Astyanax mexicanus: one gene and its partner. The protein of the gene in region 1 purifies or fractionates together with the protein of each later gene. This does not show direct contact. Links are inferred from orthologs where the notes say so. Each region holds a gene or a part of one and is shown on either strand. Other genes may lie near its edges. The genes, in order: zinc finger protein 521 and hdac1.

Region 1 (16,089 bases):
TTCCAATAAAATTCATCATAATAAACAGTAAAATATCAAATTATTATTGCTCATCACTATTTACAAATGCAGTAAAATGAACATAAGTGTATATATTTCAGTGCAGTGGGCATTTAATATTCTGTTCATCTAGATTTCTAATACACATTCTAATACACATTATTTCTAATCCAATTAAAAATAAAGCATATTATTAACAATATGTGTCTACAGCCAAGTGAAGATCATTAAAAATCTATATATTTTTTAACAAAACCACCCATTCTGATATAATTGCTCCATTATTTTGCATCCAAAGACCAAGAAAAGTCGCAGAATTAACACTGCAATTGCTTTTAATTTGGACAATCCCAGCTTTCCATGCCTAAATCATCCCCTTACTAATATTCACCAAATTAACCCTATTCTCAACTAGCTTACTAGCTTTGTTTCTACTCCAAAAAAGACTGACTTGATCACTGTTAAAATAAGGAGGTTATCTTTGCAAGTTTTCAGTCTTTTTCCTGCATATCGACTGTTAAAGCTACACAGATCACAGCATTAAGCTTCCCAAAAGCAAACCACAGGTGGCCTCCATGCATGCAGTGCTGCAGTTCACTACACAATATTAAGTATTCATGTAAAAAGGGTTTTTATTCTAATAAACTTGCCCTTTTTAAGTTAAGTTTAAGTTTTTTGCAAGATAGCAATGCTATGTGTGTGTACGGACGTACAGCTCTTTTTTTCCTCTTCATACAGGCTGTTAAAGCTACCCAGATCACAACGTTAGCCTCCCAGAAGCAGACCACAGGTTGCATCCATGCATGATTGCATTGCGTCCTGCAGTTCACTGCATGAGATGAAGTAATCTGACCACTGAAATGCACTTCAATGGTTTCTATGAATTAACTGCATTGCATAAAAAAATGCACCATTTGAAAGCAATAAACAATAAACTAATGTACTACACAATTAAAGCAGATCATTACAGTCACAATAAAAAACTTTGGCATATCGTGAATCTGGAAGTTGTTCTTATCAATGCATCAACATTTAATGACAAATGGGTGGGTAGTAATGATCTAAATTACCTGAAATTAATTGGCAGTAATGATATGATGTATAATACAGGTTGCATCCATGCAATATTGCATTCCAATCCTGCAATTCACTGCTTTAAATTGAGCTATTTCGCCACTGGAATGCAATGGTAGTATTGCACACTCACCAATTCAATGGTTCCTATAACAGGTATAGTAAGAAAAGGATGACCCTAATTCTGTAAGAAAACTGACAAATTAAAAGATACACATAAAACATTGTATATCCATTTGGCAATTTTCCTCTTATGATACAATCTGAATCTGCCAGCTGTTCTTTATATTTACACAAAATTCTATGATGAGTGGACCAAGAGAAATGGAATACAATCTTTATTTTTTTTTCATTGATTTCCATTAAAAGCCAAAAAGGATTTTACTTCTCCTATAAAGCGGATTTAGATAACATGATGGTGAATGTTGCATTTTTTCAGTAATAATGCTATAAAAACTCTTAAAGCTACACCTATCACAATGAAAAGTCTACCAGAAGCAACTAACAGGTTGCATCTATGAAATATTGCTTGCAGTTTTGTGGGACTGGACAATAATTCGGCAACAATATAATATAATCTACTGCAATAGAAAACATTTTAGTAACAGTAATACCATTTTGACAACATTTTAACATACATTATTTACAGTATCTGTCACTGACATTGACAAAAATATTTTTTTCATAAGTTTGTAGGTACATCTTTTTATTTTATTTTACTTTACCTTTATTTCACCAGGCTAGTCATTAAGAACAAGTTCTTATTTATAATAACGGCCTGGCTGACAATAACATCTGTTGTAGGCCTTTAGTTTGTACTGATCTTTGTTCATATTGATTTTAATAGAAATATTGTAATAGAAATATTGATCATATCATCCAGTCCAGTCACTGAATGAGTTGACGTAATCTGAACTAGGGGTGGGCAATATGGCCCTAAAATAATATCACGATATTTCATGATATTTTTGTGCTAACGATACTCTTAGCGATATAACAAAACACTGAATTAAAAAATATATATACTTCAAGAATACACAACTGCACCAGAATGAAAATTAAATTATTGTTAAATAAGATATGAATGATATGGTACACAGCTAACTGAGATAATAATACAATAATTTTAGATCAGATTTGTAACAGTCAATGATCAATGATCTAGAATGTCATGATACTAATAATGCACTCCAAATTTATCCCCATATATAAAGGATTAAAGTAAAATAAATGATACTGGACAGATATGAACTGTCTCTAGTAGATATATAATGGGAAATGAAAACAGTGTGAATTTTTTTATATAAAAACAGAAAAAAAGTAGTACCCTGATGTGATAATTAGGGGTGGGTGATATGACATGATATTTCAGATATATTCAAAAATGTTGGCGATATTATTGTGTATGGCACGATATGGCACAAAATGTACATTATTAACAGCATCTATCACTGACTGACATTCATTAAAAGCTACATTTCATTAATTGCCATTTGAAGGTACATTTGCTGTAGGCCTTTAGCTTGTATACTGTTCATATTGATTTTAAAATGTGGAAATATATATCACTTTACTAATTTATATGAACTAACTAAGATGAATTGCATAACTGTTAAGAAGCTGGTGATCTAATGAGGAACTATCACCACCAGAAAGCAGCAATATGTTCTATCTATACCATAAACCTCTGTTCACATGAAGAACCATGCGGGATAAGCGAGTGTGAAGAACCTGTAAAAGGTCTAAAGACCATTTTATTAGGTTCTATGATCACACTCATGATTCTTACACATCTCTATTACAAACATAGTCTGCACAGAACCATTTGAAACAGTCTATAGTTTTGAACTGATGCAGCTTAAACCCAGGAGGACTTGATGCATGTATGGAATTAAAGCCTATTTTCTTCACAGTCAAACACTGTTAGAGCTACACAGATATCAGCTTTCAGACGCACTACATCCAGTTAGAAAGTTAGAAGTATTTTTGTAATAATGAAATATAAAACTGGGCTTTTTTTATATATACGGACACAATCCTCAGTGAAAATGTATTAAGAGTTATTACAACACAGTTTACCACATTAACAATTCAATATTTTATTTTAGTGAACAGAGAATGTGTTCAATAAATAAATAATTTATCATCAACTGTAAATATCACAATCAATCACAATTAATTGCCAATACTGCCACAATTCCAAAAACAATATTATCTCACATCCCTTTGCAAACAGCACGTTGCATGCAACCAAAAATAACTGCTTTACTGCAACCATGGCAGTCTTCTATGATAAAGTACAATTAAAACTGACCATGATGTTTAAACACTGACCATGTCAATGACTAAATGACTTAATTTTCTAAACTAGTTTGTTAAAAACTGGTGTTCATAATACTACAAGATACACTATAAATCCGATTCGATACTGCACATAATGCCGTACATCCTTTTACACTTTCATGAACTACAAAAAGTACACTGGAACTGGAACTGCCTTATCATGGTTCAAATCTTACTTAACCTTCCAATATATCTTCCAATTATACTAAGGTAAGCTATGGAATTCCACAAGGCTCTATCTTAGGATCACTATTATTTCATTATACATGCTGTCACTGTGCAAAGTCATTAAAAAAAACATGACGTTAATTTTCCTTGTTATGTGGATGACACAGAGCTCTTCATATCAGCCAAACCTGATGACAAACTGATAATAAAGATTCTCATCAACATTTTGTCTGATTCTCTGTCCTGTGATCACATTTTTGTAAAGCTGCTTTGTAAAAAGCCTCAGTTGTAAAATGGTGCGCTCTACAAATAAATTTGATATGATTTGATTTGACTATACTGACTATACTGTATATCACAATAGAGAATCCAGTATATTATATACAGTAGATATTTCAACTTACATTGTTACAGCATCTGTCACTACATGAACTACAATTACAAGAACTGGCAAGTTCATTTTTTAGATGTTTCTTGGTACAGATTGTGTGAATTCTTGACAGTTTGTTTGGGGGGGGGGGCTTCCATATTGTGAATATTGGTACTAAATTAAGATATATCGTTATATAAATGTTGACCATATCCCGTTGCTGTCCAATGAAAAACAAGTATCTCCATTTTTGTAGATTTTTACTGTCCCTTACACTGTGGAAGAATTTCTTGGTGAACAGACTATTAGAAATAGTTAAAAATAACCTGAAATAAACTCTGTTTACATTACTTCCATTGAAAGTTTATAAGTTTTTTTTCTCTCTACTGTGAAATTGCTGTTTTGGAGATAATTGTTTTTTATAGAACAGCGACGATATCAACGATAGCTTTACTCTATAATGTTTATCACTACCTTTAATAAAGTAGTAATCTGCTCACTAGGATGCACAAATATCTATGAACCAACCGACAAACTCCTTGGACATAATTGCCAAAAATCCAATGACTGTTCTCCTAGAACTATTGCGAAATACAACGCAACACAAACATCACCGACGACACGAAACTGCAAAGTTCAGCTGAAAAGCAGATGCGATCACTTCAAGCAGATACAACTTCTCCACTTTTCTATTCCTCACAACAGAGCGCTGTCACTACTCTCTAAACGTCCAAACGTCTGAGCTCCAGCGTCCGTCATCGCCGGGCTTTCTTTGTGTGTAAGAAGAGAGAGACGTGATTGTGTTCATCCTCTCTGCTCCCTGAGGTATTGATTTAAAATGGTGACTGGAGGAACACACCGCGGACCATGTAATCTTCCTTTGAGATGATGACTTCCGAGAACGAAAAGGGGAGCGGAAAAAAAAGAAAAGGAGAGCAAACGAGGGGGGGGGCATCCAGACCACAAGCTGAGAATGTGAAATTGTGGACAATTATTTGCTGAGCGAAATACAAAGGCTGCCAGATGAACTGGAGCTTAGCCATGAATACCAGTGGCTACCCTCAAAGGCGACAGGGGGAAAAGTCTGCGTTCTATTTACTTTCCCCAGTGTGTGCGCGTGCACTGGTGTGTGTGTGAGAGAGTGTGTGTGTGTGCGATTAAAGTGAAGTCTTCATACTCTTCTTCACACTACTTTCCTGTGTAGTTAAACTATAGCCAGTACAGACTACTCTCCAGCTAAAATAAATAAAACAGTCTTCAGCTAGTATCACATATGTGCCTTTACTGAACTTCAGATACAGCCAGTTTAAGGTCAACGGGTGTACAATGGTCCTACACCTCCTCTTTAACCTTCCACAACAGTCCTAAACAATCTAAACACCAGCAGACATCAGCAGACACCAGTCCCAGACCTGCTCCAGGAGGTCCACCCCCCACCTGAACAACCAGAACATCAAGAGCCCTCCCTACAACCCAACCCACAGGAGACGTGACCTTTGAGCTGACCTCTCCAGAAAGGTGGATGAACATCTCAGACAGTATTCCAAGTACACATTTTCTTTCGTTTCCTCTTTATTTCACCCCACCTGTCCTTTAAGAAAACTACCACCACCAAGTGTAAAATTCTGCAAGCATAGTCATATGACCCCACGGCCACATCTCTTTTTTTTGTTGTTTTTAACCCCTTCTTCAAAATAGTACTGCTACTAATTGTTAAACTCTGCAAACAACAAACAGCTAGGGATGCAGTAAAATGAAAAATCTTGGCAAAAAAAGCAAACACAAACAAACATTTGGTACAGTACTGGATGCATAAAAGTAAAGAAAGAAAGAGCAAAAACACTTATTTTAAACATTTTTAACACCCAATCTGGTTGCAATTTCATTGCGTCATCCAAAACGTTGTTGTTTGGCATAGATTTTTCAGTTTGTTCACAAACGAAAGCGTTTTTTGGTTATTTACAGTGAAACAGTTTCAATTGCCAAATATTTGCTGCATCCCTTCCAAAAAAAAAAAAAAATCTCGTACTTTCATTTTTGCCAATTTATGAACTGTATCTCACATGACAACAACCACTTCTAATACCCCCAACCACAATGAAGGGTTTAGGACAACCTCTCCAGAAAAGTACATGAATGGAATAAAAAGTCCTCTTTTTTTATTATTATCCTCCCTCCCCCTTCCACAAACAAAACCACACAATCAAGCGGTAACTCTCTAAAAATGCAAAAAACTCAGAATCCTACATGCCTTCTATATCGCAATCCAACCAATCTTTGGACCAACCACATTCCTCCACAGAACAGCTCACAACACAAGCAGTGCTCAAACTCAACCGTCCCCACCAATACACCTAAATCCACCAAATCTCCAAAGTTTAAAGAGGTTTAAGCTGACCACTCTGGAATGGAAGAGAAACAGCTTGGACTGTTACTTCTACTCTTTTGCTCTTTTAAGCCCCCTCCCCTTTCATCAAAACTACCACCACCAAGTGTTAAACTCAACAAGCAACGTCACTTGACCATCCCCCCCCCCCCCAAAAAAAAAGAAAACTCAACCAAACAGTGTTCTAGCCACATCCCTCCACAGTCTTCAAACTCAACAGTTCCCCCAACCCAAAATACAGCATCTCCAAAGTTCAGTTGCCCCCTCGACAACAAACACGCGCTCTACCCCTCAGACCGCGTGCAGCCTTCACAGGGGCGAACCTAAAGCGTTACAGAAGCGCTATAATGCATCAGAACGCCTGCGCCTCGCCACACAGACAGCACTTACCTCTCAGTGATCTTGGTTTTGCCTGCTTGCGGCGCGACATCCTAACGGGGGGGAAGGAGGACGGCGTTCAGTGCGTGAGAGGGTAAAACCAAAACACTCAAAAAAAGAAAAAAGAAAAAAGAAATACAGAGAAAAAGAGAGGAAAAAGAGCCCTGGCGCGAGGGAGTTTTAAATAAATGTAATGCTTTGCTTGGAAAGAGAAAGAAAAAGAGAGAAAGAGGGAGTGAGGAGGGGGAAAGAGAGGAGAGGGGGTCGGTTTGGAGGAGCAGGAGGAGGGGAGGGAGGTATTTCTATTTTGTAAAAAAAAAAATCCGACTTAAAAACTGCACGGAATCGGTGTCGGGAGAAAGTGTAAGGAGGACGATGGTGCACCGTGCACTAGAAAAAGCCGTCGCGCGACCATCTCCGCGCCGCAACTCTCTCCTTCTTTCTCCCTCGCGCTAGCTCGCTCGCTTTCTGAATCTCTCTTGCTTGCTCGCTCGCTTGCTGCTTTCGCCGTGTCGGGCGGGCGGGCGCGCGCACGCACGTGCAATGGAGAAAATCGCACGAGCGAAAAATAATAACGCTAATGTAATATTGCAAAAAAAAAAATCAAGATGCAAAATTAAATAAAAATGCCCACGCGCTTCGCATCGCGTTGCAACATCACGAGAGATGCGAAGAAAAAGAAAAAGAACAAACCGCGCAAAATAAAAAAAAAATCAACAAAAAGCGTGAAAAACCAAAAACGCCGCAAAATTGCGAAAACACCGCAAAGTGTCACTTCTCGCGCTGTTCAAAAGAACCGGAGGAAAGTCGGCGTCTTAAAGGTTGTTTTGTCTTTCTCAGTTGTTAAAAAAATAATAATCAGCAATAAAAGAAAGATAAGATAAAGAAGAAGAAAAAGAAGAGGAGCAGAAGAAGGAAGAGAAGGAGGAGGAGGAGGAGAAAGAAGAAGGAGAAAGATGAAGAAAAAGAAGAAGAAGAGGAGGCAGAAGGAGAGGAGGATGCGAGCAGCAGCTCCTTCCTCATCACAAACCTGCGAGGTCTTGGACTGCGCCGTCGCTCCGGTAGTCCACATAATAATGGAAAATGGAAGCGAGGCCCCCAAAGCCATGCGGATGGCTCCAGAGGGGGCCCGGAGCCCGCAGGGACTCGCTCTGTACGTAATCACTGAGGAAATCATTGTCAGCCTGCCTGCGCTAGAGCACTCACGGAGAGGCATGATTAAAAAAAAAAAAAAAAAAGAATCGGTGGCAAAACCCGGTGGAGAATCCGATCCGCGCAAGGATCCGGACTCTCTCTAGCTTTTCGCTTCGGCATGAGGGGAAGGGTTTAAAAGAGAGAGAGAGAAAAGAAAGTAAGAAAATAAGAAAAAAAAAAGGAAAAAAATAGGCAGAACACGGGTGTAAAAAATGTTTAAAAAATACGAAGAAATAAAAAAATAAAATATAGAATAAAATGTTATTATTAAGTATTAATAAGTCTTTTTTTTTTAACAAATAATCATATATAAAAAAACATATTTCAACTTTTTCAGCCGTGTTTACGTTAAGTAGCTCCGCCCGCTTTTTATAAAAAAAGTAAAGAAAAAAGAAGGTGCTCTGAACAAGGGAAAGTTAAAGGAAAGGAAGGAAGGAAAAATAATAAGCAAAACACGGGTTTAAAAAATGTTTTAAAAAAATAATAATTAACTTAAAAAAATACATTTAAATCAACTTTCCCGTGTTTAAGTAGCTCCACACACTTTTTTGGTAAAAAAAAAAAAAGGTAAAAAGTCCAAAAAGGTCAAGTTTAAAAAAAAAAGAAAGAAAAAGGAAAGTAAGGAAAGAAAATTAAAAAGGAAAAAGTCAACACAAACGTGTTTTTTTTTTATTACAGAATAAAATAAACTTTTTATAAAGTTTTTACTTTATAGATAATTGTTTTATTAATTTTTTTATACGTTATTTTTATCATTTCCTACCGGTTTACACTCTAAGGCCCGCGCCTATTTTTGTAAAGGAAAAATGCTTATAAGAAGGAAAAGTTAATAGAACAAACAAACAATAATGAACAAAAATAAATACTACCACAAAAAAGAAAGTTATCACCGGTGCTGAAAACGGGTGCAGGAAAAACGTATTTAAAACTCAGTATGCAATTTAAACATGTTTTTAAAGTATTTTAAAGTGTTTTTAAGTACATGCTTTATTTTTTCGTATTTTATTTTCTCTTTTTTCAGCGCCCAAGTTCGTTTTTCTGTTCATTACTTTTTTTCCTCCCTTCTTTCTCAACTTTCCCACCCGTTTTCAGACTAAGCCCGCCCGCTTTTCATGTGATTGGTTCCTAAAACAGCTTCAGCGCACTAAGATTGGCTAATTCCGTCCCTTCTCCTGCGCTGCCATTGGCTACTCGGGTCTCTCATCTTGGACACGCATTGGTTTAGTATGAGCCCGCCTCCTGATCCGGGATTGGTGGATAATTTACAAATTCGAGCTGTTCATAAACCAATCCCAGCGCAGGAAGGAGGGGCTTGTGTGAAAACGGGTGCAGAAAGAAAACAGCACCGCTTCTCTGATCTGTTAAATAGGAAGGATTTACAGCGTTTAGTCAGAAAGTAAAGGAGTACAGTGGTGCTCAGAGCTGGTCAAGAAGATCTATCACCCTGCAGAGTTTACCCCCCACCCCTAATCTCACACACCTGATCCAGGTAACCAGAGCCTCCAGGGACACGTGACCAGCATAGACTGAAATGTTCAGGCAGGTAGAGCTCGAGGACCAAACAGTAAATCTGCCCGTGTTAAATAAACAGTAGCTTTTGGTGTAGCTACAATTTCATCACTTACAGAGTTCATTAAACCCTGGCATTTTTTTTCCTTACACAAAGAATATTATTTTCATCGTTGTTTTATAAGGAGTTATATTATGACTCCTTGAGTCTAATAAGAGAATTACAACAGCGTTTTTGGACCACTAAAAAAATAAAGTTTTATATTTTGAGAGAAGTCATAATATTTTGAAAATAGTTATTCTACTTTATAAATGAAGGCATAATATTTTGAGAATAAAGACAACATTTAAAGAAAAAAGTCATAAAATTTAGGGAACACAGTCAATATTCTAAGACTTAAAGTATTAATATATTAAGAGTAGTCATAGTATTCTGAGAATACAGTCAATATTTTGAGAATAAAAGTAATATTTTAAAAATAAAGTCAGTATATTTTAAGAATGAAAGTAAAAATATTTTGAGAACAAAAGTAATCATATTTTAAGAATTATTTTGAGAATACAAGTAATAATATTTTAAGAATTAAGGTAATAATATTTTGAGAATAAAAGTAATATTATTTTAAAAGTGTTCAGAATAATAAGAATAGTCAGGCAATTTTAAGAATAAAGTAATAATATTTAAAGAATACGGTCATAAATTAGAGTAAAATCATACAATTTTCAGAATTAAAGTAAAAATATTTAATTTTAAGAGTAAATTCAGAATGTTTTAAGCATTAAAGTAATAATTTAAGAGTAGTCATAATATTTAAAAAAATAAAAGTAATATTTTAAGAGTAAAGTCAGAATATTTTGAGAATTAAAGTAATACGATTTTAGAAGTAAAGTCAGAACATTTCTATAATTAAAGTAATTATATTTTAAGAGTAAAGTCATAACATTTTCAGAAAGGCAATGTTTTAAGGATACAGTTTCAGGAGTGTCACATTATTATGGTAAAAGAGTTTGGACAGTACCTGCCTCCTGTTTAAAGACGTTGACAACATTGTTAGCTTCACTTTCATATCACTAAACCAATAAACTACTTAAGAAATGCTTTTATATTTTGGCCTATCAGCACTATATTTTTATACGATATGTAAAACAACTGTGCAAATGTTTATTTAAAAGAAAGAAGCAGAAAGAGGTGAAGGAAATAGTTTTTTTTTTTTTTTTTGAAGGAAATGTTGTTACAGTAAAATAACCCACAGGCAGTGACCAGAAATGCAAAACTGCACGATCTATGGAGCTCAGACTGGAAACACAAATTTAAACAAAATTAAAGTCCTACTAGTCTAGTGTTAAAACCTCCATATTCTGACCATGCTGGCTGGCATAAGCTATCTGACTGCTGCTGTTGCTGCTGCTGTATTGTTGGTTATGGTGGTTAAATATGGTCTGCGTTGTTTGCTGTTGTGTGTGGATTGTGGTGTTTGTTAGCTCTGCTGCTTTGTTTAATAATAGCTACTTACTGTATGAGCTGAAAGAAGAAATCTCCAGAGAGGTTAAAAGTCTTCACTCTGCTTTCTGTAGGTGGTGCGTTAGTTTAAACATTCCAAAAAACACAAGCTGTTGACTCAAAAACGGCAAAAAAAAACAACAACTAACAAACAAACCAAACAAGCCGCTGACTGGTAATTAGTGTCTGCACCTGCGCACAAGCTCCGACTCACTTACGCCTAGTGGCTGGACAAGGAACTGCAGCTGTTGGGTTTGTCAGACCACCAGAGGGCGCTCTGGAATGAGTAAAAAATAAGCAATTAAGAAGAATAATAGTTTAAAAATATTTGATATTTTTAAACTAGAAATAATATTATTTTTTTAACACTGAGCAATATTTTATGTTTCAGTACTGCAGATACACATTGAAAGCTTGTAAACTCCAATTATAAGCATTTTTTTTTTTAATTCTGTAAAATTCTTAGTTAATACAAAGAAACCACAATAGAAGACAGCATGATAATACATTCGGGAGACAAAGGAAAAAAAGAAATAAAAAAAACCCCTAAAGATAAAGAAATATTAACAAGAGGCAGTGAAAGCTCATAAAAAATTCTTACAGTTTTTAGACACTTTTTATTATTAGTCATTTTAAAGGATTTAAAAAATATATCAAATTATGGTATTAAATGTTATACAATTTCTAAACTTGCTCTGGCTGTAACTCCAGCATCCGCTCTCACCAACCAACCAATCAGCTCACAGTAGCACTAATGCTAGCATCTCTATTTTCCAAAAAACTTTGCTGTTTGCTATATAGAAATGGAAATATACAGTGTTTTATATATTATATATATATTATATTTATATTGTTTTTGCCCTAGAATAGTTTTATTTGTTATTTTAAATTGTTTAGCCATTTAACTGAATTCGATGAGGATGGTAAAATTTGCAGATTTTTAGCCAAAATATGCCTATTTATAATTAATAATTTATAATTTAGGCAATCAGACAGTGTTAGGCAATCAATACAGTGCTGTGAATTTCAATATTTTTTTTATCTATACTGTTTACTATTTAAATATACCATGTTTTTATGTATTTATGGTATTACAAACAAACAGATACAGATATTTTAAACATTCTACTTTATAACATGTCGTATTTGTCGCCATTTTTCTGAAATATATCTCAATATGAGTTTTTATTATTTCAAATATCTCAGCAATTTTAACAGATTCTAAAAATTATTATAGCAAATTATTGTATTATGATTATTTTTTCGGGCAAGCATCAGGGCTTAGGGACTATATATAGTACCAGTCAAAAGTTTGGACACATCTTCTCATTTAGTGTTTTTCTTTATGCATTTCTTCCTTAATTGATTTTTCTATATTGTATATTACTATTAAAGACAGTTTAAAACAGTGTTTATCCTCCACCTGACCCAATCCCTTGATCTAAACCTGGTGAACTGTGAAGGAAAAGCAGTATCTATTGTTCAGCACCTCCAGGAACTCCTTCCTTCAAGATGCTGAGAAAACTATTCCAGGTGACTCTCCCTCATGAAGACACTGAGATTAAAATACCAAGAGTGTGCAGATCTGTCCTCAAAGATAAATCTGATACTTAAAATAATCTAAAATATAAAATTTTAAATATTCTGGTTTGTTTAACACTTTTTTGTTTGTTTACAGAATAATTCTGCACATGTTCCTGTATAGATTTAATATAAATTTAATATAATATTAAATTTGGAATGTAAAAGAATAATAAAAAGTTCCAACACCCTACATAGGGCTTATTCCACTCCATACTTAAGCTACAAAATGGGCAAGGTTCCCATTTAATTGGTTTAATCCCAAAATAAGACTCTCAAAACAATGGCTGTTATTCTATCATGACATGGTATCTCTTGAACAGACTACTGCAACGATAACTAAATCTGAAGCAGCTACACTTATGGGGTGGGATCCCATTAGATCAACCCTTAAGGATTTTTTTTATTTCATTAGGCAATATTAGACAACGTGTAAATTGTTTCTCTATATTTATTTGGTGTGACAGTGACTGAAAAGCTTTATTCTTTATATCTGTATCTGCCTATGTTGTATTTTCTCTTTTTTTTTTTTGTACAAAAAAAATTCCCACCACCCAAATAATAATAATAATAGCTGCTCTGTGGTGTTTTCTCTGCTGTGGTGTTCTGAGTATTGTAGAACAGGGTGAAAGGAGGATAATAATAAAGTATATAGAGAAACAGATAAAGAACTACAGTCTGTAAGAAGCTAAAAATGGACAGTGAGTGTAGTAAAGTGGCCATAATATTGTGACAAAAACTTCTCCAACAGACATCCCAAGTTGCAAAAGTTGATTTCAGGGAGGTGCCAAAAAAAAACAAAACAAAAAATACTTGCACACACACCAAAGGATAACGAAACTTTACTTTTATATTAATTAATTTTACTTTTTTTTTTTTAATTAAATTTAGAGTATTCAGAGGTGAAATGAGTTTTATCTTTTTTCTTTTTGGAAGGCCCTGCCTCTGCTTTCCTTTTTTTTTTTTGGAAAAAAGCCTTTATTTGACAAAAAATGACAGTTACAATATCACGAAAAATTGCACAATATCAAAAACATTTCATATCATATTACGATAATTATTAATATTGCCTCCGCCATGATCTGCTTTCTCTCACTCACTGAACAAATCCCGTCCGGGAGGGGGGAAAAACACTGCCCGCCCACACTTAAAACTGATTGGCTGTCTCACAGACTCTTTGCAGAGTACAGGCCAATCAGAACCCTCTCTGTTTTCTATCTCTCCTTCCCACACGCGATTAGAGAAAAAAGTCTGTGGCCTGTGTGCACGTTTGGGGCACTCGTTCTGAATTCCGGGAGATTATATGTGACTCGCGGGCATCAGGGAGCCACTACCGAAATGCGGGAGACTCCCGCAGCTTCAGGGAGACTTGGTTTGTCTGCTCCAATATATATATATATATATATATATATAATGTGATAATGACCGAACCGATCCATGTAACTCAGCCTTATCACATGCAGTGTGTGTGCTCTAAAAACTGTGTTTGTCTATTGTTGTGACTTAGATGAAGATCAGAACACATTTAATGACCAATGTATGCAGAAATCCAAGTAATCCCAAAGGGTTCACATACTTTTTTAAGCTCTCAGACTGCACAGAAATCGTATTTATCTAGCTATCTATCTAAGACAAGATTTATATAAGGAACATGTTTAAAAAACAATTAAAAATTGATCACAAAAGAAAGTCCCACCACCCAAATAATAATAATAATAATAATAGCTGCTCTGTGGTGTTTTCTCTCCTGTAGGGTGCTGAGGATTGTAGAACAGGAGGTTAATAATAAAGTATATAGAGAAACAGATACAGAACTACAGTCTGTAAGCAGCTAAAAAATGGACTGTGAGTGTAATAAGGTGCTCATTATATTGTGACTAAAACGTCTCCAATATATTTATATATAATGTGATAATGACTGAACCGATCCATGTAACTCAGCCTTATCACATGCAGTGTGTGTGCTCTAAAAATTGAGACTTTTAGACACCTTTCCATGTGTGAAGTTCACGTGACTTTTTTGGCCCGTGTGAAGAGCAGTGTGAGGATCTAATGAAGAGCACTCAAGGCTTCTAGCACTAAGAGCGTCTGCTCGGCTCTCTGGATTTTTTACTTATTTTAGCAGAGCTCCGGCTCATCTCACCTGTCCAGGCTTTACTCCCCACCTATGTGAAAATGAGACCCAGGAAGGACCCCCCGCGGAAGGGCTCACACTCTCTGTTCTCACCCCTGAGGACTGCGAGATCACTCTCCCCTCACCCGTATCCAAAAGTTATTGGAAAAGGACTGCAGTTGAACTCACACGACACAGAGTGTCCTCTTGCCCACAGAGGGGGAATAAGCTTTCCATGCCATGTTTGGAGATGAAATCGGAGTAGAAAGAGGCTTTATAAGATGCCTGTAACATCAGGTTCGCAAAATTTGCTACTGAAGCACTGTTAAGCACCATAGGTGGAAAGTAATTAATTACATTTACTCAAGTTACTGTAATTGAGTAAATTTTATGAGTAATTTGTAATTTTTAAAGTAGTTTTTAAAATAGGTCATTTTACTTTTACTCAAGTACATTTTGACACAAGTAATTTACTTTGCTACATTGGAAAACTCCCCGTTACTGAGTAAAAAATAAAATGTTTTATGGGGTGGTCTGAACAAATACTGCCTGAAAGGTTCACATTATCATGTGGAATAATAGTTCATTAAAAAGGATTTAATTTATGATTTGTTTTTACTTTTTTACATCAAATAATTAAAAGTAACTATGTAACTCTTACTCAAAGTACATTTTAAATTGAGTACTTTTTTACTTTTACTCGAGTAGATTTTTAGATAGGTACTTTTACTTTTACTTGAGTAGAATTTTAGCAAAGTAAAGGTACTTTTACTTAATTACAATTTTTCAGTACTTTTTCCACCTCTGTTAAGCACTGTAATGTACTTCTTATACCACCATTTATTTATTGGGCTATTGGACACGAAAAACGGTGCTATTTGTCTTTGGATTTTTTAAATTATTATTCATCATATTTACAGTTGCAAAAAAAAGTATGTCAACCCTTCGGAATTACTTGAATTTCTGCATAAATTGGTCATTAAAAGTGTTCTGATCTTCATCTCAACAAAGCATGGATGATGCAACAGGACAACGACCCAAAACATAGAGGTAAATCAACAACCGAACAGCTTCAACAGAAGAAAATACTGGGCCTTCTGGAGAGTCCTGACCTCAACCCAATTGAGATGCTGTGGCATCATGACCTCAAGAGAGCGATTCACACCAGATATTCCAAAATATTACTGAACTGAAACAGATTTATGAAGAGAAATGATCCAAAATTCCTCCTGAAACATTTGGTTGAGATTTTTGCTGCCAAAAAGGGTCAACCAGTTATTAAATACAAAGGTTCACATACTTTTTCCACCCGACACTGTAAATGACATGTTGTGTTCCATAAAACCATGCAAACATCATTTTTTGTGTGGTATTGGTATTAGTAGTTTGTCTATTGTTGTGACTTAGATGAAGATCATAAAATATTTAATGACCAATTTATGCAGAAGTAATCCCAAAGGGTTCGCATTTTT
Region 2 (16,040 bases), on another chromosome or scaffold:
TGTTTGTATTCAAGTCCATGATTTAAAATAACTTAGAGGTGAAGTCTCCCAGGTGGGGAAAGCAAACGACCAACTCTTAACTACCGTTTCTGGTCTCATTTGACTGATGCTACTTTTGGTAGACATTGACAACTTAAAATGAAAAAAGGGCAAGGATTCAAAAGTACAAAAAGGGGGGGGGAAGGAAACGTACATCTTACATTGCAATTCACATTTGTAATGCAAAAAACCTTTATACTGCTCATCAGGAATACAAATAGTAAAATGAGCCTTAGAAAATAATTTACAGTCTTTAGCCTGCGAGCTAAGATTGTGTCTGTGTGTGTGTGGTGTGTGTGTGTGTGTGGTGTGTGTGTGTATGTGTGGTGTGTGTGTATGACAAGTACATGCATCCATTTGGACTCGGTGTATTCTCAGGTTGTTTTCAATTCTTCTTTTGGCCTTCAAGAAAACAAAACAAAACAAAAATCTATTAAATGTTATGGCTCAACCACAGTGTTTATCTTCCTTTTGAAGTAATAGCAGATACATTAGTATATATTTAACAAAAAATATAAGCTGATACATTTGAATAAATCTCTCCACATATCCATACAGCAAGTTAATATTAAAAATAAACATTCCAGAATAGCTCAAAACACACATACCCCTTTGTGTCCATTTTTTCCTCTGGAGTTTTCTCCTCCTCCTTCACATCTGTAAGATTGTAAAACTTAGCATTACACACTTTAAGCAATTTTACAATGGAACACATTTAACACAAACCACATAAGGATAAACTGTTCAGGTTAAAAAGGCCAACTCATTAAAGGCCAGCTTGACATCATAATATGGGATTAATGTTAACGTGTTCAGTCACTGTGGCTAAAAGTCTGAGGCACATTTTAATTGCAACAGCTCAAATAAAACCGTAGTAACTAAGGGAAGCAGGCACACAAATTGTTGGAGGCCTTTTTTGTAGCAATTCACAGCAGAAATCATGAGTGCCAAAAAAAAATAATAATTGGATGAATTTAGTATGCATTTGATTCTGAGGTTGATTATTTTGATACTAATAATAAAGCAAAAAATGTAAAATAACTGAATTAAAAATGTTGTGTTTACAGCTTAACAGCCGCACTGAACGTCTGACACTTTAATTCTACTCTACACAAACTTAACATGAATCAAATTTCTGTTCATTAACTTTATATACTTTCAAGTTTTGACTGCATAGTAACAAGGACAGGCAACTTATTGGCTGATATTTTTCCCAATACTTGATAAAGCCATGAAATCAAAAGATGAGATGATCAAGGTGAAATTCTGTTGGCTGTACCTGTCTGCTCACCTTTCTTCTCTTCCCCATCCTTGTCTTCTTCAGTCTTCACTCGTTTTGCTTTCTTGAAGTTTATGGTGTTTCTGCGGCCACCTTGTCCTTCATCCTCAGAATCGGAGAACTCCTCATCGCAGGCTATCCGCTTGTCATGGGCACGAACTAGTGAAGGAAATAAAAAGATAATTAAAAAAAGCTGCTTACTCTCAGCAAAATGTGACTAATAAAAGTGAATCAGGTTCTCTCTAAGCTTTTGTTTTTGGAGACAAACCAGAATACAAATTCTGCTCCATAAAAACTAGAAAAATGTAGAAATAAGGATAAACTGAAGTAACACAGCAAAGACAAGTAATCAGCACTCACTGGGGATTCGTTTGTCTGGATCATCCTCCTCATCTCCACTGTCCTCCTGCACAGCATCCTCGGGGATAACCTGCATTTGCACTCCTGGAGCATGAGGCAACATGCGCAGGTTCTCAAACAGACGCTGTCTATTAACAGACAAAGCAAAGGAGAAGAAACAAAATCAGCAAAAATACACTTGTGTAGACTACATACTGCAACAAAACATTGTGTGCAGAGAAAGGCACTGAAGAGTGTCATTTAGGAAACAGTAATAAGGCTACGTTAACATTACCAGGCTAAACTAACTCAAATCTGATTTTTTTTTTTTTTGGCTCAATATGGCTCAGATCTGATTTTTTTTCATGGCTGTCAACATACCAAATCATTTTTTTAATAAGATCTCAGCCACTTCGATATGTGGTGCTAAATCAGATACATATCCAATCCATGGACATGTGACAAATGTGGACTGTCAAATCGGAATTAATAAGTCTTTACATTAAAGTTTCTCTTTCATGTCCACACATCTCTTGGTGCAGCTGTGCAGCTATAGCTGCAAAAACAGCAAAAGCAAACCGCCTGGCCTTTTTTTCACCTCCTCAACCTGATCATGTACTTCAGACCAGCTGTTTGCTGTTTCTCCACTCCAGCAAAAGATGCTCCACATAAGCTGATATCCATTTCCATTTATAAAGCTCGTCTCTCAAATATGACGTTTGTTGATGGTGAAGGTGACGTTTATGCACGTTATCAATGTGCATGCGTGAGATGTTTCAGAGACAGATTCATTCACAATACATACAGAGACAGGCCAAATTTGATCAGAGTAAAATTTGATTTGAGCAATATGGCTTGTAATGTGAACATAGCTTAAGATAAGTAACTGCAAACAAAGCTGCTGCATTAGAACAAATGCAAACACTAGTCTCAGGGTAACAATTTAACACATTTCACACATTTCACACATTCTAGTGTGTCTTAGTTTGTGGTCATTTTTCAGCAGAAGGTGACTGCTTTCTGTAGAACACTTACTTAATCTTCTCCAGGTAGTCATTTGTGTTCTGGTTGGTCATGTTGGAAGGGCTGATGTGGAGCTTGAAGTCCGGTCCAAAATATTCGAAGTAGTCATTGTATGGAAGCTCTATATATTAGAAAAAACGGTGGGAAAACAAATTGTAAGTTAGAAATACCAATAGAGAAATAGAACAGCTAGCTGTTGACATTAAGGAGTTAGCATAGAGTTAAACCTGTCTAGCTTCACATTATAAAATGAAGTAATGCAATTTCTTACATGAAAGGTGCACAAGTTTTAGTTTACTCAAGTCGTTTAAAGAGCTTCCAGCTCAAATTACATATTGTAGGAACATTGTCATTTTGATAAATTAGATATTACTAGGGTTTTGTTTAATTTGATTAATCAGCCATAACATATCCATTTACAGCTAAGGTTTTTGCAATATTTCTGCAATCAACAAACTGGTAATTTGCCAAATTGAAAAAGGAGAAAAATTAATTAATGAAAATTATACCCAAATCAATTTCTATTCTATGCTGCTAAGAAACATCAGTAAGGCCATAGCCAAAATACAGTCTTGGTATTGCATGGCAACTGATTAATTGTGTCAAGTTAGGCTAATTTCAGTCACATTACACAAGTAAATTTCCACTAAGAATCAGTCTTGAAATCATCTTATTGTCAAACAACTCTTGCAATGGAAGTGCCCCAACCAAGATCCCATGGTCTGTTTATAGAGAACATTCAGAACAAATATTAATAATTTAATTAAAACAGCACAGTATTCACCGTTGGGAATAGTGCTGTCCAGGGCTACAGCTGTCTCATAGGTCCAACAGCGAGCCACGTTCCTAATGGTGTATCCTCCTCCTCCCAGCATCAACAAAGGCAAGTTAAAGCTCTTCATGTATTCAACACACTTAGCATGGCCTGCAGAGCACAGAAACCCAGTGTTATCAGTCAGAATGAGAGCAGACAACTGCTTGGCTATGAGTAATGCTCAGTGCTGAAAGTGACCTTTAATAGTGAGGTTGAAGCAGCCCAATCTGTCTCCAGATAGAGAATCAGCACCGCACTGAAGTACTACAGCACTGGGTTGATACATCTCCATCACTTTGGCCATGATCTGAGGAAGACATTTTATTAATTCAGACTGGTCAATTTTCAGGACATCTCTGTAATGCTACACTGATTATGACTTACAGGTTTGAAAATGGCTTCATAAGATTCATCATCAATCCCATCCCTGAGCGGGTAGTTCACAGCGTAGTATTTTCCCTTTCCTGCACCAATGTCCTGGGGAATAATCATTAGCCACACTAAAGTTAGAACCCACATCTATTTGTAAGCAAAAAGTACTGTTAAGTAGTGTAATTGCAAACAGTCTATTTAAGCAAAAATATTAAAATTAAAAAAATAAATAAAAGAGGCAAAGGAACTGGGAACTCACTCTGAGGTCACCTGTGCCAGGGAAGTACTCTCCATATTTATGGAAAGAAACAGTCATGACACGGTCTGTGGTGTAGAAGGCCTCCTCTACTCCATCACCATGATGGATGTCAATGTCAATATACAGCACTCTTTGATGGTATCTACCAAACAGTATTAAAACAAAGCCTCGTATAAAACAACTATTCAAGTAAGGAATTATCAAATATCTGTATTAGAGAAATTTACTAAATTAAAAAAGCTTAATTAAAATGTTCCTTTAACTTTTACCAGAATACAAATATGTCAACTGACCTAGACAAGACCGGTGTATAAAATTAACTTCCTTAAGATTGTTCACACCTCAATCACACAAGGGCGCCATCATTTAAAAATGAACACACAGCCAGTCTGTCTGATGAGACCTACGTGCCTCGGCAGACAGATTGATAAATTTACACTGCTGTGGCGTGTAGTGTTGTAAATTGCATACATTAGTCTTAGTATTACATTTTTGCCTGTAACTTTTTTTTTAACAAAAGCTGCTCTTTTTTTACTGATATGAGGTTAGCTGATCTTATAGGAAATTATTCTAAAAGCATGACAATAATTCAATAAAAAATAAATGGATAAAAAGAAAAACATGCAATTAAATTTAAGTGAAATACTGCATAAAAACCAAAATAGTAATTGTTAAGAAAAACATACTTGAGCAGTTCCAAGATGGCAAGGACAATGTCATTGACGTAGCAGAAACCAGAGGCCTCAGACTTCTTGGCATGGTGAAGACCACCCGCCCAGTTAATGGCTATGTCTGTTTGCTGCTTGTTTAGTTTCACAGCTCCAGCTGAAAGAAAAAGGAAACAGCACTATTAAATATAGGTCATTGGTCACCTGCAACAGGCTTGCCTACTTAAAGAACCCATCCAGCTAGCCAGGTTAAACGCACTTACCAACAGAGCCACCTGTTGAAAGCTGACAGAACTCAAATAAGCCATCAAACACAGGGCAGTCTTCACCCACATTAACTGGGAAGGAAACACATTAAACAAATCAATTTTTTATAGCAAAAAAACAAACAAAAAAAATAGTTTTATAACTTAAGAGCTTAATTGCTGTGTTTGTTATTAATCTAAAAAGTTTGAAATAATTAGATTTAGTTATATGAACTCTTAAACCACAGGTACACATTTTTACAATATCATATCAACTGTGTTTCATCACTGCAATAAAATAATTTCCATAATGGCAACAGCATTTATGACAACTTTAAATATATGCACAAATATGCAACTGATTTGGTTTTCAATTATTTTAAACCTGTCAGCTTAAAGAAAACATGGCTACTATCCGAAAAGAGCTCAAAAATCACAGTTCCTGTTACATGGTCTGTTTCACAAGATTGCATTCTAACCACTTATATTTTGGGTGAAAAGCACCTTAATTAAAAGTCTGGGTTCATATCAACTCATATCAACATATTGAATACTCACATCTCTGCATCTGCTTGCTGTATTCTGACATGTTATCTGGGCGAATGGAACGCAAGAACTTGATGTAATCATCACTGTGATACTTGGTCATCTCTTCACCATTGGCTTTGTGTGGTCTCTGTAAACAGACACAAAAAAATACCTCATTACCATAACGTCCGAGACACTTAACATAAGGATGTAAAATTCTGAAGTTCTGAACTTCCTCTTACATAGATCTCCATCTTCCTGTACAGTCCATAGTTCAAGAGGAGGTTGTGGGTCATGCGGATTCTGTGGGGCTTCATGGGATGACCCTGGCCATAGTAGTAATTGCCAACATCCCCTAAAGAGAGTGTAGAACAGTGGGTAAAACATTTGAAAAACATAAAAATGAAGTTCACACAATACATGAATTACAGAGGCAGGTCATTATTGAAGTTAAAACGTTATTAACATACTACATTAGACTTTCTTTAAAATGATCTAGTAATGGTTTTCATGGACTTGATCTTCTTTATCTTAGTGAAATGATTGTTAGATAGGTTTCAGAAATGGCTTTCTACAGTAATCTGTTGGTAGTACAAAAGCTGCTTTCAAAACTTCTTTCAAGCACTATGGCCTAAAGCTCTGGAAGGCTCTTCCTGAGGAGCTCAGAACCATTTCCCTCTATGGAAACTTTTAAAAAGAGTGTTAAACCAGATTAGGGCTGCAATGATTAGTCGATATATAAAATCAACAACGTTGATTATTAAAATTTGTCAACTACAAATTTCACTGTCCACTAATCATTAATTTGTAACAGTACCACATTACACAAAGTGCTGGGGAGTGTCCAAACACAACAGATTGTATATTTACTCACTACATATCATTACTTTCCACGTTCAAACATCCAGACATTTAACAGCTTTTTAAGTGTAATGTTTAATTGTTTCAATCGTTTTTTATAGATAGAGGACATGGCAGAAAGAATCGTTGAATAATTGACTAATTAAAAAAAAATAATAATAATAAAATAAACTACCAAAATCATTAGTTGCAGCCCTAGTTCAGATTAGCATTCATTTAGTCCATCTCTCTTAACTGCAAATCTTCTAATCATATTACTTCCCTTCTAAATGTTTACTGCACTTCTGCTTCAATTTATTTGCCATTTATACAAGTATATTATTTTTTAATAATGCCTGTAATTGTTTTCTCCCTCCCCATGAAATTTTATATTAATCTTTACATTTAAAAAATTTACTTTTTCGTGGTGAAACTTCGAACTGCATTAATGTATAAAAGGTTATGTCCAAATATTATTATTATTATTATTATTATTATTATTATTGTTATTTTTATTAGCTACGAGGGAACTTGCAGACACAACAAAGCAGGCGCTGAGAAAACTAAGCAGACTACCGGGTTACAGAGAAAGGGTCACAGCACTACAGATCCCGAATATAACCTATAAATCTTTAGAGTTTTGTTTATACTGCCTGCATTGCTGGGCTTTAGCATAACTCTGCACGTAATAGTAATACAATTCTGGGGAGAATTTTTACTTTCTGTATTGGCTGAATTGGCTAACTAGCTAGCTAGATTAGTTAGCTAACGCTAAATAACTGCACTCAAACAATAAAACTGCTACATCAAAACCAAACAGACCAGCCTCACTATTACTCAAAGTAGCTGTTGAAGTTTATCATAATGAACAGAATGAGCTCAGTGGTTTCCTTTATTACAGTGAAATGATTTTACTTCCAAAGATAAATGGCTAAGCTAGCTAGCCCTGCTAACAGATAGATAAGCTAAGCTAAGCTAAGTTCAGTCCTCTGCGTGTTAGGTTATCTAGCTAACTGACCACGAACGAGCATCCTACACATTAGTTAAATGATTAATTAGCCATAGCCACAGCGGAGCCCGTTTCTCATCCCTGCGCTGCCCGTAAAAAGAGTTTACAGGCGGGAATATCAGCCCGGACCCCGCAGGGTTTCTCTCGTTAGCTGAAGCTGGGGATAAAGAGGGAGCACTCGCTGCTAACCGGCTAATGCTAACACACTACTCCGGGTACCGAACTCAAGCGGCTAACCGGCTAAACTTAACGCAATTACAGACCGCTGTCCCGGCCGACTGGTGCATTACTCGGCTAAAGCGACTGAAAATGAGTAAACCTGCTCGCTCCGAGCGCAGCTTCTTACCATCATAGTAATAGCAAACTTTCTTCTTTGTTCCTTGCGAACTCAGCGCCATTTTCCCTCCGGTCAGCGTGCGGCCCGCCGGCTTTCAGCAGCGCAGCACATCGGGGGCGGGACATCAGGCCTCATCATCCAATCACACTCAAGAATATCCTTCTGGGGGCGTTTCTGTCCGTGTCAGGACCAATCCGCTCAAACCGCACTGTTCGCTCAATTTGTTGAGTTCAAACCCGTGGTATAAAGATATGCGTATACATTGTATATACAGCTTTGGGGAAAAAATAAGAGACCACCTTAATATGACGAGTTTCTTTTATTTTACCAAATTGAAAACCTCTGGAATATAATCAAGATGAAGATGGATGATCACAAGTCATCAAACCAAGCTGAACTGCTTGACTTTTTGCACCAGAAGTGGCATAAAGTTATCCAAAAGCAGTGTGTAAGACTGGTGTAGGAGAACATTTCAGCCATTTCTTATTTTCTGCAAATAAATGCTCTAAATGACAATATTTTAATTTGGAATTTGGGAGAAATGTTGTCCATATATTTATATACATTACCGGTCAAATTGTTTAGAACAGCTTTATTTTTTTAGTTGTCCAGTAGCCATGCTGTACGGCCCAGACAATCTGCTTTTTTATTTTCCCATCTGAGCAATGACTTTATTACTGTACTTCACCTGTCAGATCTCTAAATCCTCTCCTCACTGCTGAAACTGAGACCTAGTCCAACGTTAAGCTTAGCTAAAGGCGCTGCCATGTGAGTCCTTTGAATGTGTAGGAAGCTCTGGCTTTATCTGTAAATTCTCTAAAGAAAAGACTTATGCTTTTAATAGTTATAGAGTTGTAACTTGTCTGCATTTTTAAGTCTTTTTTACTTATTATGATGAAAGTCTAAATGTGCTCTGTGTAAGTGTGTAAATGCTGCAGTTAAAATATGCGATCTGTTCCAATACTGCTTTAATACAGACAAAGGCTTTGTAAATTGACATTTTTTTAATCCATTTCCAAAGCTCTTTTTGTTCCATTGCTACTTACTGCTACTTGCTGTTATCCAATAAATTGTTTGCTAAACATCACACCCTCTTTTTTAAAGAATATAATGATTTTATTTAGGTTTTTTATCACAATACTAAAATCACTTTTTTGGTTTTGTTTTTAGTTCATTTGTTGTACTTAAACACAGTTTAGTGCACATTTTTGTACACTGGATTTTCTACCATTTCTGGTTCTTGACTGGACCTGCAGAGATTAGATATCCCAAAAAATTAAGGGAAAAATAATTTGCTACATGTATGTGTGTTCTAAACATTTTGACTGGTACTGTCTATGTAACAAACCATTATAAACAAACAGAGGATTTGGGCTTTATTTATTCACTAAAGGTTCACAACCAGTGTTTATATTGTTTGAAACCAAATGTAACCTTACTCAGTATCTGCTGATGCAACAATTAGCCAACTTTATTGGAAGGAAATCATCCCTTAAAAATATGATTAAAATATGGAATTGTATAATAAAAGTATTACTGCTGTTTGGGACATCATCCTATTGTTTACCAAATGGAATAAGGCCTACATAGAAAATAACACAGTACCTACAGTCAAATATGGTGGAGGTTTAAAGATGTTTTGTCTTGACTGTGTGCAAGGCCTCATTAAATCTGAAGATTATTAAATGGTTTTGGGTTACAGTGAAGGGCCCAGTGTTAGAAAGCTGGGTTTGCATCCTAGGTCATTCTTCCAGCAGGACAATCACCCAAACATACTTCAAAAAGCACCCAGAGATGGATGGAAACGAAGCACCTGTAGAGTTTTAAAGTGTCTAAATCCTAATCACCTGTAGAGTTTTTTTTTGAAGGTTGTGGGACCAAATATTAAGTTGAGGGTGCCAATAATTTTGTTTTGCATGAAATTATATACATTTATTAATTAATTTATTTTTCTTTTTAGCTGTTCCAATACGGAAATAAGGAAATAAACATGTGTATACGCAAATATGTGTAAATGCAATATATATCCTCATGTCTCTGTATGTGAGCTCATTATGTATGCAAGTCTTTGCTGCATGGATTTGTTAAAGGCAGAGGTCATATTCCATCTGTGTCCAACACAAATGGTCAATGTGTTTGTCTTAAAACGTTGTGATGATGTATGTTAGTACTGTATTTTCTGAAATATCGGAAACATAAATTAGCCATACAAGTAGCCATTATAGATGATTGGTAAATTGTGGCCATGAAGGGATGCACATGGTCAGCAATACTACTTAAATAGATTGTGGCATTTACACGATTGATGCGTATTACCAGGCCCAGAATTGCTCAGTAGACCAAGACACTGACCTGAGGCCTGAGGAATCTGATTTTGAATCTTGGGTTATGCTGCTTAGCCATCAGCATAACTGGCATTGCTCTCACTAGGTGGGTAGATGGCGCTCTTTCCCCTTATGACTCCCATTGTGATGCTGGCCAGATGCTTTAGGGCTGAGGATACAGCACTTTCCATGTTAGAAAAGAGGCGGTGGCTGACTCACCATTTGATTGTGGGGGAGAATTGTAAGTGATGGCAGGTCCTACAAATAAGATGGGCTAAGTTGCTTAGTTTGGGAAAAGAATTGAGTACAAATTAAAAATGCAACTGTCTAGTTTTGGTGAGTTTGTGCCCACTGCAACCTCAGCTTTCTGTTCTGTTTAGACCAAGGTTCAACCTGGTGTAAACTCAGACTACTCTAGCCATTCTTTGCTGACATCTCTCTACAAGCTTAAACCAAGAATTAATAGAATTCTGCGTATTAAAAACAGTCATCATTCTGGGCATTATAGGCCGCACAGTAGTGAAGTTAGATTAGGATGTTCTTATAATAAAAATAAAATGTGTAAATGTTGGATGTTCAGCACAATAGAAAAATATAAACAAAATTTAAACTAAGCAATGGAGCATAATATAAACTAGTTTGTTTAAATGCATTTTAAACAATTTGTGTAAACAAAAAAAATAGGTTATTTATAATACTAAAATAATAGAAATTACTATAATGTGCTGACATAGCAAAGCTTCATTGCATCATGTTAGTACAAAACATGTGGATACATTAATATTTTATATACTTACCTGCCAAACCTGCACAAAGTTAGCATATAGAATATACCATGTAGTATTAATGTCTTGTACATTGACCTAATTGTAAAAGTTAAATATGTAAATAAAACAGTTTTAAAAACTACTTAGAACACTGAAAAAAAAGAATTTGTCATGTGTCCCCACACTCTATCTATAAACTTTACCATGAAATATAATTATTAAAATCCTTCAGCGATGTCCCTTTTTTGTTGCATTGTTGTGTGACTCCAAATCCCATCTATGCTTTAAAAATATGTTTTCATATTTTAGATCCATAAAATAAAAATACACATTGTGTCACTCATTCCTGTTACCGTAACACATTACCCCATCTGAAACATCTGGAACATTTTACAAGTCACATCTACAACAGGAAGTTACATCAGCTGGTTCTTCTGAAGACCATGGGAAGACCAAAATTAAGTTCCCTCATTAGTTTTTCTGTATATTTGATCTTATTGTAACGATGACTGAGGAGGTCAATCCCGACACTCTTTCATGTTACCTAAATTCATTTTTAGATCTTATGTTTATTTTTAAAATACATTTTTTTTTACAATCACTAGAATGTGCTCAATGGCCTCATGCTTTTAGCATAGCCACAATTTAGAAAATTATCTTGTTTTTGCTAATTCTATGTTCAAATCTCTTTCCGATTACTTTAATTCCTGTTACTCAAAACATAAAAAGTAACAGGAATGAGTTCCAGTAACAGGAGTGAGTTCCAGTAACAGGAATGAGTGCCATTAACAGGAGTGATTTTTGTCATAAATATAAATTATATGAACATGCAGTCAACCATTACTTTCTTGAGAGAAAATTAAAGGAATTAGTGGACTTGCTTTTAAACATGCTTTTTAAATGTCACATGAGTTTTGTAACCATCTAAAGTTTAGAAACCTTAGAAACATTAAGTAAAGCTGCATGAGTTTGACCAGTACATGTTTTGAATTGTTAAATACATTTGTTATTGGATTCGAAGTAAAAAAAAAAAAAAAAGATTAAATAAGTTTAATTTGGAACAAGCAAATGGCATCCATTCAGTGGAATAGCCTATGAATACATTATTTTATACGTTATTATTTTATAGATACAGTACACCAGTCTGACACTAGGTGGCGACATATGCCCACATTTGACTCAATACCATAGAACAAAAATATGTTTTGGAATTGAAGGAGCGTTGGAGAGAAGCTTATCAAAATGGAGCGTTAAATGGCTGCATTTTAGAATAGGCATACAGGTCTACAACTGATAAGCATTACGGTATAGTCAATTAATCCTACACCAAGTCTCTGAGTTACCAATAAATAACCCTCCATAACATTTCTAGTGATTTACAACAAACAGCTATTACTGAAAAAAACATGATCAAAATAGAAATTACGTTACACCAATCTGCGACTTGCTGTCGAGTGACGCATTTCATTTGTTTCAGTACAGATACAAAACTATTTTTACTGATGTAGTTTTACATAGAACCATATTTACATTTACGATAAGTAAATTCTACATTCTCACCCTCTGCTCCTTGTTTAGGAATTTGTGACACTAATAAACTGTAAATGAAAACAGCACACGTGATTATAGCTTACATCAGGCTGCTTCTTAACACTACATTTGAGTCTGGCATGTAAATGCCATTAGATCCACTTACAAGGGTCTATAGGCCATTATGGTCTTATATAATTTCTTTGGCCTTCATCAGGCAGTTTACTTCACTGCTATTATGCAATGTTTCTGTATGTAAGGTGTAGAATTCTAGGTGGTAATTTTGATACATATTTGACACCTCACAGTAACATTCAAAACAATCCTGGGCCTGTTATCAACAGGCCACCAACCCTGTAAAACCATTCTAAAATATTGTCAACCGCAACTGGAAGGAAATTGTTTTTAAACCTTATAGCACATTTAAAGCTAATGTGGTTGGTGTTTTGTCTCTACTTATTGATATAGTTTAATAAATAAACATTATGTCAATATGCTTGAAAACCTAGTGCATGTTTTCTACCCCATCAGTGTAAAGAAGGACACTTCTCAGCTTCCATTAGGTAACCAACATTTATTTACCATTATCAACTTTACAATAAAACCAGTAACATCTTTTAACATTAGCAAAATAAAGAACAAAATCAGTCAAATGTATTTACAGAGACAAAAAAGCAGATCAAGGCTCACATTTAACACATAACAACTCTGCTTCTTTTAAAACCTCAAATGTGAACATAGCAAGCTCAAATGTGTTTTTTTTAGCCAAGATGAAAATTAAAATGCGATTTCAAACAAACAAGACAAAGCCTTCTGGATATTTAAAATGGTTCTCTATACACCACAAAATACTTAAATTTGGGTTAAAATATAGGAATGTAGAAAGTTGGCAAGTCTTTTTTTTCTTTTCCGTTTTTTTAACAGTCATTATTATGTGGTGATGTTTATCTTGCACTTCTCTTTTTTTATATTATAGCATCTTTGTGGTGATGGGTTTTGAAAGATGCCTCTTCTTCTTTCCTTCTTTATCCCGCTCTCAAACTCACACTTCTCTCACTCTTGCATTGAAATCCCGGTCCCGAAGTGATTTCAACCTAAATTCAGAGTCCCGGATCTTTGAGCCATTATTAGGGAAGTGAACTAGTGAATCTAGTCTGTCATTTCATATTAATCTTGAAGAAAGTGGCACGAGGAGTCTCTCTTTTTTTCTTTTTTCACATACATGTGTATATATACATATACATATATCCATGTATATATACATATGTATACATATACACATATATATAAATATATATATTTTTTTTCTTGAAAAACAGTTCACAAAGTCCTTGTGAAGTACAATCACTCATTCTGTTCGGATGGTGCGGGTGTGGAGTTGGTCTCCTCTGTGGGTTTTGTGGGCTCAGCAGCAGGTGCGGCGGCAGCAGGGGCAGCCTCTTCCTTGGGGGCGGCTGCGGCGGCCTCTTCGGCCTTGGCCGGGGTTTCCTCTGCTTTGGGGGTCTCGGCTGGGGCGGGGGTCTCCTCCGCCTTGGCCTCCTCCTTCTTCTCCTCCTCTGCAGGCGCTGCAGCGGCCCCGTTCTCCTCGGGCTTCTCCTCTGTGGCCTCCTCTGCCTTAGCTTCCTCCTTCACCTCGGCGTTCTTCTTGCTCTTCTTGCTCAGCGAGAGGCCCTTGAATTTGAAGGAATTCTTCAGGGAGAACTTCTTCTTCTTCTTTTTGGGGGTCTCCTTGGTGGCCTCGCCCTCAGGCTTGGCGGCGTCCCCCTCGGCAGCTGGTGCTGGCTCGATGGCATCTCCCGCGCCGGCCTCAGCCTCCTTGGCTGCCTCGGCCGAGCCGTTGGTGGTGGCGGCTGAATCTCCCTCTGCTTTAGCGGACACGTCACCGTTGGTTTTGACATGGCCGTTCTCCTAAAAGGGGGGAGATAATGATAGTTTAGACCATTTACATTTAAAAATGCATTTTTGCTTCTTTTGATGGATTTACATGAGCTTTCCTATTAGTATTACATAGTTATTACTATTTTTTTGGCAAAATCCTACGTGTAGCCCTTCAATCGTCGACGATTAACTACGCTTGTGGCCAATCACGTACACAATGCAAGTGATGGAGGTGGAGGTGACGCCTTGCAGTACCGCAACCCGCCGACAGGGGGCGACGAGAGCTCACAAATCGGTGGAGACTGGTCGAGACGGCGGCTTTCAGACAAAAGACTGAAGCGGATCGATGCGCGGTGCGTCGTCGACGATCGGTTTAGCGTAAAAAACACGAAAACACGAACACACCCCTCGAGCACGAGCGGAAAATCGCGTGGAACTGGTTTTTATTGTAAAAACATGAATAGTTTGATTCATAACTAGCGCCTATCTGACCAATTACACGTGGATTTAGCCGCTACTGAGCGCAGTGTCTAGACTGGTGTGTCTGGAGAAATTTGGGCTTCGATTATTCGACGCATGAATGAAAAAAAGCTGTAAACTCGGAGCAGGAAAATACAACAAAACCGGTGTTAAACATTAAGGATTAGTTGGTAAAGGAGTTTATCTAGATGATGCTTAAATTACACTGAGGGTGAGCATCCCCTCCTACGCGGCGGTGAACCTTCCCTAACGATAATTATCGATGATAAAACACATCTTAGGCCAACTGTGGATCAGTCAAACACGCCGTGCCTGCGATTAAAAGCCCCGCTACTCTTTATATACAGAAGATTAAATGCCCGAGCGCGATGCAACGGGTGGGTGGGACGGTCGGATGGAGGTTTTTGACTCTCCCGCGTGTGGAGAGGAGGGAGGGGGAGCCTGCTGAGCACCGAAACGCTCCTCAACCAGCCGGAGAGAGCTGCTGCTGTTTTTCTCACAGAAAACCATCGTGGAAGAGGGTTAAACCATATGAACGCATCCACTGGTTCCTACCTGTCCGTTCGTTTTGGCGGCGGACGCCTCGGCGGCTTTGCCCTCCACGGCCACTCCTCCCTTAGATGCCTGGGATCCCATCGTCGCGATCTCTCGGAGAGTTTCGAGCTTTTCACAGAAAGAAAAACCGAATCAGTGAGTCGAGAAGTAAATCCAAAGCCTCGGGCTCGCTGCGCATCCAAAGGAGCGAGGATTTCTCTCTGTTTTTCTGTTTATAAAACTCTGTAGACCTCCTGGTCCTCCTCCACCCTTTCTCTCCGAGTGCTGCTCCACTACTAACAACACCAGTTGAACGGCGCTTCAAGAAAACCCCGGGCTCCGCCCACGGGCGTGGCTCCGCCGCACCGGCCTATCAGGGGGCGCCTCACGCCCTCCCATAGCCCCCCGCCGCGGCCCTCCTCCTCTCCGCTCATTATGTGGGAAAGCAAATGGCATCAGAGCTGCTGGAGACCCAGTGGAGACTGTAGTAGGACCTGTTGAGCTCTGTTGATATTATTGGACGTTTGGAGGAGATATGAGACTCTAGAGCTTAAATAAAGTACAATAAGACCTTAATGGACTCCCAATATACATAAGGACCACAGAATAACACTTTAAATAAGACCTAATAAGTGGAGGACTGAGCTAACTAGCTGAGTAAACAAACTATGCAGCTAGCTAGTTAGCTACTTGGGTCAAAATACATTTATTAAAATTTAAATATTTTTTACTCCAATAAATGTAGAAAAGAGGACCCTTTAGAACTCCACTTAAG

What was found.
Region 2: the proteins of zinc finger protein 521 (region 1) and hdac1 purify together in Homo sapiens (affinity purification with mass spectrometry; 3 studies listed by BioGRID and IntAct, counting the BioPlex papers as one, with this or other methods). This does not show direct contact. The link is inferred for Astyanax mexicanus from reciprocal best matches to the Homo sapiens genes ZNF521 and HDAC1.

What each region holds. Positions count from the first base shown.
Region 1 is NC_064415.1:10,737,658-10,753,746, reverse strand, and holds the start of zinc finger protein 521, read right to left. Parts: upstream 7,888-16,089; 5' UTR 7,750-7,887; intron 7,724-7,749; exon of another isoform or gene 6,773-7,723; 5' UTR 6,772-6,772; coding exon 6,732-6,771; intron 1-6,731. UniProt on the Homo sapiens protein: Transcription factor that can both act as an activator or a repressor depending on the context. Involved in BMP signaling and in the regulation of the immature compartment of the hematopoietic system.
Region 2 is NC_064410.1:39,608,232-39,624,271, reverse strand, and holds the start of hdac1 (histone deacetylase 1), read right to left. Parts: upstream 7,881-16,040; 5' UTR 7,814-7,880; coding exon 7,762-7,813; intron 5,922-7,761; coding exon 5,809-5,921; intron 5,715-5,808; coding exon 5,597-5,714; intron 5,132-5,596; coding exon 5,057-5,131; intron 4,951-5,056; coding exon 4,812-4,950; intron 4,268-4,811; coding exon 4,126-4,267; intron 3,972-4,125; coding exon 3,879-3,971; intron 3,802-3,878; coding exon 3,693-3,801; intron 3,606-3,692; coding exon 3,465-3,605; intron 2,802-3,464; coding exon 2,693-2,801; intron 1,807-2,692; coding exon 1,679-1,806; intron 1,478-1,678; coding exon 1,319-1,477; intron 697-1,318; coding exon 648-696; intron 442-647; coding exon 414-441; 3' UTR 1-413. Other genes in the region: marcksl1b (MARCKS-related protein 1-B), read right to left, coding at 13,718-14,281, 15,287-15,367. UniProt on the Homo sapiens protein: Histone deacetylase that catalyzes the deacetylation of lysine residues on the N-terminal part of the core histones (H2A, H2B, H3 and H4).